2 linked regions of the Sus scrofa genome follow. The main gene of each other region encodes a partner of the protein of the gene in region 2 in a complex. Links are inferred from orthologs where the notes say so. Each region holds a gene or a part of one and is shown on either strand. Other genes may lie near its edges.

Evidence for each region.
Region 1: WRAP53 (region 2) and NOP10 share a complex: the UniProt entries of both Homo sapiens proteins name them as parts of the telomerase holoenzyme complex. The link is inferred for Sus scrofa from reciprocal best matches to the Homo sapiens genes WRAP53 and NOP10.

The regions. Positions count from the first base shown.
Region 1 is NC_010449.5:80,159,336-80,162,904, reverse strand, and holds NOP10 (H/ACA ribonucleoprotein complex subunit 3), read right to left. Parts: upstream 1,882-3,569; 5' UTR 1,775-1,881; coding exon 1,721-1,774; intron 1,425-1,720; coding exon 1,284-1,424; 3' UTR 606-1,283; downstream 1-605. Other genes in the region: NUTM1 (NUT family member 1), read left to right, coding at 3,445-3,569. UniProt on the Homo sapiens protein: Required for ribosome biogenesis and telomere maintenance. Part of the H/ACA small nucleolar ribonucleoprotein (H/ACA snoRNP) complex, which catalyzes pseudouridylation of rRNA.
Region 2 is NC_010454.4:52,953,239-52,957,588, forward strand, and holds the start of WRAP53 (telomerase Cajal body protein 1), read left to right. Parts: upstream 1-1,435; 5' UTR 1,436-1,771; coding exon 1,772-2,175; intron 2,176-2,322; coding exon 2,323-2,421; intron 2,422-2,527; coding exon 2,528-2,639; intron 2,640-4,350. UniProt on the Homo sapiens protein: RNA chaperone that plays a key role in telomere maintenance and RNA localization to Cajal bodies. Specifically recognizes and binds the Cajal body box (CAB box) present in both small Cajal body RNAs (scaRNAs) and telomerase RNA template component (TERC).

The sequences.
Region 1 (3,569 bases), on a different chromosome or scaffold from region 2:
TGTGCCACAACGGGAACTCCCTAGAGTTTTTTGTTTTTTTTTTCCCCCTCAGCAGTCAACAACTATAACTTTTCTGCTGGGATGATCGAACATCAGAGTCCAAGAGAAGCACATTTACCCCTTTCCAGGACCACTCTTGATAAATCAGATTTGCGCTTATTTAAGTCACATCTGCTTCTGGAAGCCTATGTAGGAAAAGAAGATTGTACAATTGGATGCAATCTCCAAAAGGCAATTTTAAATCAGTGGCACTAAGAAAACGTTTAAATTCAACGTCAAAAGCCAGAAATGAGAAGATTAGGAAATAGTGAGTCGATTAACCTAAGGAATGGAAAAAGCAAGTTAGCATTAGCATTTCTTTCTTTCTTTTTTTTTGGCTGGAGGCATGCAGTGGCCTGAGATGGGATCTCAGCTCCCAGACCAGGTATTGAACTTAGGCTGCAGGGGTGAAAACGCAGAGTCCTACCTAACCACTAGACCACCAGGAAACTCCCGGATTTCTTGGATACCTGTATACAATATTATGCCTCATCATCCCTCTATTATGAAGTAATCGGATTAAAAATTTGTGATTACCCCATGACAGAAGCTCAAGGCCTAAGACATCCTCCACAATTTAATAAAAATGATCCCTCAAGAGGAGCATGAAAAATAAAAATCCCTGCTTGAATCTCTCATGCCTCATCTTCTAAATTAAGATCCATGTAGAATTCCACATAGCAGACAGAATGTGAAGTTAGGTGTATGTAAGAAGAGAATTCCTTGATGGAAAGAACTAAAGGCCTGGGAATATTTCCACAGGGTCAGTAAACACACATAAAGGCATTCCTATTCACAACGGTTGGCCAAGTGAAGGTGGCTGTTGCAGATGAGTCTTTCTCAAGCTTTCCTCCCTTTCCCCAGCCCCCTCCTATGACTCATAGCATAGCACTACTGCTACAGCAGCCACCAAGAAGTCTTGTATCCCTGGGGTACTCTTCCCTCTCATCTCCCTCGTTTGTTTTTAAACCAATCCTCTCTTCTTACAACATACAAAATAAGAGCTCTTTCAAATCATTTTAATAACATGGCAGTGATTCAAAGTATGAAAAAAAAGATTCAAACTTTTTCCCTTTAAAGGGAATGCTAGCATGACTGCTTCACAACAAGCATGATCAAAGGCAATGATGAGACCGGATTCTAATGAGCAAGGGTTGGAGTAAATCTTCAAGGCTCACAGATCGAAGAGCTTGGTTGCACAGTCTCTTGAGCGCTAGCAGGCAGCATACAATTTTAAGAGATTCTCAAAGGACGGGGCGCGGTTGCTGGGTCATAAGCACCTTGAAGCGTTTCTTGATAGTGATCCGGTGTCGAGAATATTTGTCGTCTGGGGAGAACCGAGCAGGATGGGCCGAGCAAGTCTGTTGTCCCGTGGGGTCGAGCTTCTGCTCGAGGAGGAAAGAGATAACAAATCTCAGTAATGGAGTGGTGAGAAAACCCTATCACTGAGAGTCATGAGAGATGGGGCCTGGGATGGGGAGGGGGCAACGCGGAAAAAGGTAAACATGAAGACAGGACACGCGACGGTCGGATCCAGGAGCCAGACACTCCTGCTTCTACTACGCGTAGCTTCTGGGCTTTCTAGTTCCCCTCACCCAGGCAGGCAATTCACTGGCTTGCCTTGACCGCCCCTCCCAACTACAGTTCTCGTCATGCCCATTTACAACCTGTTTCTTCTCACCTTTAAGGTATAGACCCGGTCTCCCTGCTCGTTGAGATAATACTGGAGAAACATGATCACGCTGAAGCCAGTAGACGCAGGTCCTTCCGCAGCTGCTTCTAACTGAAGGCCTAAAGTGTTTGGCAACTTCCTTCCGGTATAGACGGAAGTCTCGCTCTCAAAGCACGCCGGGAAATGTAGTCCAACTTAGGCCTTTCTCCAGCCGGCCGGAAGGGGGCACTACCGCAGGACTTGGCCAGTTGCAATCCAGTTGCAAACTTGCAGGCGTTATGAGACACGTGGAGTGTGCCCACTGTGTGCTAGGCACTGCTTGGCGTCAGTGGGGGGAAGGGATGGATATAGATTGAACATTAATGAATAAAATCCTGTCTTTATCACAAGATACACACCCATTTCAGAGGCAGTGAGCTTCTATTACCTGGAGAAACCAGGGCTCCAGGACCCAGAACCCCTTTTACTTTAGGGAAGAAAGAAGAAGGTTTTCTTCCCTCCCCTCTTTTACATCCGGTTCCCTCGCCCTATTTCAAAGTATTGGCGGTAAAGAGTGCATGATGGGTATTCAATATTCTGTACAGCGAAAAGAGCGTGAAGTTATTTTATGAAACTGGTGAAGTATGTTTTAATGGTCGAACCAAGATTCAAACTCAAGTCTCTACCACAAATTCAACGCCCATTCTTATAGTGGTGAGTAGCTAATAAGACGCACCCCTTAGGGGTATTTCGAATTTTTAAAAGAACGTACAAATTCTCCTTATAGGACTTCTAGTTAAAGCAATGAATTTGGAACCGAGATATCTTTACGAAGGTGGCCGTTATTATTTATAACGGCAGAAACGTTGTAATATATATTAAGTTTATAACCAGAAAAAGCTGAAAGCTTTTTTAAAAAGAGTATAGTTTGTGTTTATTATAATTGCATAAAATACCTTTGCAAGGATTCAGAGGAAATTTGGTTTTCCCTGGGGTAAATAACTCGGTTCCAGAGGAAAGGAATGGTTGGAGACTTGTTATATTTCATTTTGCATAGTTTGACTTTTGAACCATGCTGACATATTACCATTTAAAAAATTAAGATTATTAACAAAAATTTTAAACAAAAATAACAAACAAAAAGAAGGACTTTTTGCTCTTGAAATTTTAGGCTGAATAGCAGTTTTTGATGGAATGGGAGGCTTTTCAGCCAGGGTTAAGGCTAAGCCTTCTGTGGACTGCAGAGCTGATGGTAGTGGACAGTTTGGGAACTGCAGCACAGCTTTCCAAGGAAATGATATGTATACAGCAATTCAATGCCCTTGATCTTCTAAGACAACCCTAATTTCAAACATTCTGTTCCCTTGATCCTTAAGTACACAGACTATGTGCTCTGAATTTGGTTCAGAAAATACAGCCAACACTGAATTAAGTCAAGGGTTTGCCAGAACCTGTTATTAATAGGAAGTCAGTTATAGAACTGGGTAGCATTGAAAGACAAAAACTAGATGTATTGGTGAAGAATTCTGTAGGGAACCAAGATGTGGTTGGGAATCCAGGAAAGAATCTGCAAGTTGCCCCAGAGAGGTGTGCAACAATTGTGTTGCCATACTCTGATTTGGAGGGAATTCCTGGTTACTGCCCACTTCCAGAGCCCTTTGTGGAATCTCTCCCTAACCCCACCCCATAATGCCACCTCCCCTCCCCCCCTGCAGAATGCCTTGGGTCCTAGATTCTAGTTCTGTTTTGATCTGATGTTTACCATTCCTTCCTTGGATCCCTGTGTATCTACTGGAGCCAGGTTACTCTCTGGGTGCTGGACCCACCGTGTCATTGTGAAGGCTTCCAGGCAGCCACGGTTAGTGCCCAAACCGGAGAG
Region 2 (4,350 bases):
AGGGTTCCACTGGGATGCCATACGCACTAAAATCTCGAGCCATAAATCCCCAAAGTTCCAAGATCCCAAAGCCTCGGACCTTGATGCTTTGTGTGTCTTATTAAGGGCTCCCCCACACCGGGTACTGAAATGGGGTGGTGGCGGTGGTGGGGAAGAACCCCTTAGGCAGGCTCAAGTTTTCCCCAAAGCCCCACTACCCGGCGCAGGTGTTCAGCTTTTTAGTTCGGTTGGTCCTAACATCCCTATCATCTACACTCAGGCCTCCCAACATTGCATTCCTCTGTTGATGCCGCTAGAAGAACTTCCATTTCCCCCCCCCCCCCAAATCACTAAATCTTTCGCTCCACCTCCATCCTCCTTTCTTCTGAGCTGAAAATACACAGACCCGAGAGCCCATGACTCATAGAGTATTCATCAGGCTCAGTTAAGAGCTTACCCGAAGCTCAGGAGAGCGTGTCACTGTCCTGGGATGCACGCTCGAGACGGGACGTCAGGTGACCCCGGAGACCAGCAGCTACCTGCGCCAAGGATGGTGGCCCTGGACTTTTGAGGAGCTCAAAACTTTTAGCGCCAGTCCGAGCACATGGGAGGGGAAAATCCCAATCCCAGCAACCATCGCGAGACTCCTGGCACAAAGTCGCCATGACAAGTAAGGGCAAGCAATTACCCTGCGGGCGGTGGCGACGGACGGAGGTGGTGAGGGTGAGGGGAGTCAGGATTCCTGCTGTGTTGGTTTTGTAGCTACTGACAGTTTGCGGTGAAGAAATTCGACAACCCAGATCTGTGAGAACAGAATTGGTGGAAACCATTTTGAAAGACTTGTCCCCGAGTCAGACATGAAGGTGAAAGAAAGACAGCCTTTGCACCTTTTGCCTGGAACTCTGCTCTCCCAGATGGCTGGATAGTTCCTCATTAGCTAAAATGTCAATTTTTAGGAAGACCTTCCTTAATGTTCCAAGCTAACGTATTCTCCTAGTTACGTTGTATCACACTGTCTTGTTTAATTTCCTTCCTAGACCCTATCACGTTTTGAAATAATTTGTTCCTTGCCTTCAATACACAGCAACCTAAGCGTTAGGAGAGCAGAGACCTTGCCTACTATCTTATTCATTCTTGTCTTTTCCAGTACAGTACTGGGTAGCAAAGAAGAGCTCAATGATAAATATTTATTGAATGAATGAAAAGAGACGGAGGTCTGAGGAGTTGAGATGCAAAACAGGTTCAAACCCCGTAAAAACAAATATAGCGCTCGCGCCCTCTGCAGGTGGGGAGGGGAGTAGGTGCTTGAAGAATGATAGCGCGAGGAGCTCAGACACATCTCCCTGACTCAGAAGCTCTCGGACTACAAGTCCCAGCAGGCACTAGGAGATTCAGGACTGGAGGGGAACGGTAACCCGTGACCTGTTACGTCCCTGCCCCGCCCCTCTTGTGGGTCGCCCGCGAAGTCTGATCCGGGATGCGGAGGTCCAATCGAATGGTGGGCCCAAATCCCGCGAGAACAGGTGGCGCGTAGCCACCGACAGGGCTAAGGATCGCCGAGCTCTCCAACATTCCTGTTCGCCCGCCTCGCCTCGCGAGGCCTGGGGGCGGGGGGCTGTTTTCTGTCCTATCCCGGGAGCAGAAAGAAGGCACTGCTGGGTTTCTCCAGTTCTGCGTCCGGATCCGTGCGAACTTACGGCGGTCTCTGCCGTTCCGCAGGCCCGGCAGCTGGTAGCCGGCGGGAAGAGGATTGCCTGGCCGCGGCCAATGTTTGCCGTGCTTCCTCTGCAGTATGAAGACCCCGGAGGCGCCAGTGTTAGCTCCGGACTGCCTTCCTTCAGACCAGGCCCCAGCTGCAGCCCGTCTCTCTCCTCAGGCTTCCTCGATGGATAAAAATACGAACCCTGAACAGACGCCACCGCCACCCGATGGGGATGATGCGCCCCGGATATCCCCGGATCCTGGAGCTGGCTCGGCCGTGTCCCAGGAGCTGGGGGAAGGGGACCCAGCTTCTCTCTCCACTCCGTTGGAAGCTGAGTTTGATACTCCTAGTGAGTTGAGCCCTCGAATCGAGGAGCAAGAACTTTCTGAAAAAGTGAGCCTTCCTGCAGAAGAAACGAACAAGCCAGAGTTGGGGCCGGGAGAAGACATGGAAGATGTGTCTGAGGAACCCGCTCCAGAGGATGAGGGATACACGTAAGTGCTGATGGCAGTTGGCTCAGGAATCTGAGGAGGTTGGAAATGTGAGATATATCTCATCCGCCAGTCCTCAGCCCCACTTCTCCAGGCCCATTTCTCCTTGGCTTTGGCGACCCAGGTTTGTCTTCCCCATCTTCCTTCCAGCACTTGGAACTACAGCTTCTCGCAGCTACCCCGGTTTCTTAGCGGTTCCTGGTCAGAGTTCAGCACCCAACCTGAGAACTTCTTGAAAGGCTGTAAGTGGTAAGTAAGGATGAGGAGGGGGCTCACCTCTGCCACAGGTCTGCTCAGCTCAAGCCCAACACTCGCAAGATACAGGTCTATCCAGGCTTCTCTCTCCTACTCCTAGGGCCCCTGATGGTTCCTGCATCCTGACCAATAGTGCTGATAACGTCCTGCGGATTTATAACCTGCCCCCAGAGCTGTACAGTGAGGGGGAGCAGCTGGAATACGCAGAAATGGTAAGGGTAGGGACTAACTGCCCCTTCCTCAGCCAGGGCACTTTTAAGTCCTGCCTGTAGATGGAGAAAGTACAGTCCACATGTTTCCTGTCACAAACAGGGTATTTTTTCACCGTGAGTTTCCACAGGTAGCATTTTCGGCCGTCAGTTCCGAAGTCATTTAAAGTGATATTTGGCTTATCTTTCATTAGGAATATATGTTTTCCATAAAGGAGTAGTGGATTTCTCTCCGTAGTTTTTAATTGACTTTCAGATATTTATTGAATGACCACTAATATGCCACCTACTGTGTTTGGTGTTGGGGTGAAGTGATGAACGAGACAGATGAAGAACTGGTTTGCTTTCTTGTGTGGGAAACATGTTACCCAATAAGCAGTCAAGTTCATTATTGAGTTTAACAAATACCATGAAGGGGTATTTGTTAAATACCGCAATGGGAATGAATCCAGCTAGGAACCATGAGGTTGCAGGTTCAATCCCTGGCCTTGCTCAGTGGGTGAGGGATCTGGCATTGCCGAGAGCTGTGATGTAGGTCACAGATGCGGCTCGGATACTGCATGGCTGTGGCTGTGGTTATGGCCGGCAGCTGTAGCTCCGATTCGACCCCTAGCCTGGGAACCTGCATAGGCCACAGGTGCGGGCTTTAAAAAAAAAAAATATATATATATATATATATACCGTGAAGGAAGTAAACAGAATGAGGAGAGATTAACCAGAGGATACCACTTTAAATAAAGTGGCTGGGGAGGAGTTCTCTGAAAAGGAAACATTTGAGCTAAGACCTGAAGGATGACAAGATCGGCATGTGAAGAGGTATAGAAAGAGTGCTCCACAAAGAGGCAGAGATGTGGGAATTCCCGTCGTGGCGCAGTGGTTAACAAATCCGACTAGGAACCATGAGGTTGCGGGTTCGATCCCTGGCCTTGCTCAGTGGGTTAAGGATTTGGCGTTGCGGTGAGCTGTGGTGTAGGTTGCAGATGCGGCTTGGATCCCGCATTGCTATGGCTGTGGCGTGGGCTGGCAGCTACAGCTCTGATTCGACCCCTAGCCTGGGAACCTCCATATGCCGAGGGAGCGGCCCTAGAAAAGACAAAAAAAAAAAAAAAGAAGGGGGCAGAGATGCTACAACAACCCAGAGAACCCAGAGCTGGGAAAGAACTTCATGTGTTCAAGGAACAGAAAGAAGGCCACCATGCCTGATGCCAGATCTTGTGGGTGGGGCCTTCGGAGTGCCTCTGGGAAGCCATGGGAGAGTTTTAAAAGAGAAGAGTGTTGGGAGTTCCCATTGTGGCTCAGTGGGTTAAGAACCAGACTAGGATCCATGAGGAGGTGGGTGCCATCCCTGGCTTTGCTCAGTGGGTTAAAGGATCCGGCGTTGCCATGAGCTGCACGCATAATTCGAAAATGTGGCTCAGATCTGGCGTTGCTGTGGCTGTGGTGTAGGCGAGCAGCTGTGGCTCCAATGTGAGCCCTAGCCTGGGAACTTCCATATGCCACAGGTGTGGCCATAAAAAGAAAAATAAAAAATAAAAGAGTGAAATGATAGTTGAAGTTTATTTACTCATTTATTTTGGCTGCACATGAAAGTTCCCAAGCCCAGGATTGAACCCGTGCCACTGCAGTAGCAATGCCAGATCCTTAACCACCAGGCCACCAGGGAATTCTGATGGACTGTGAGTGGTCAAGAGTGGAGACTCTGTTAAGACGCAGT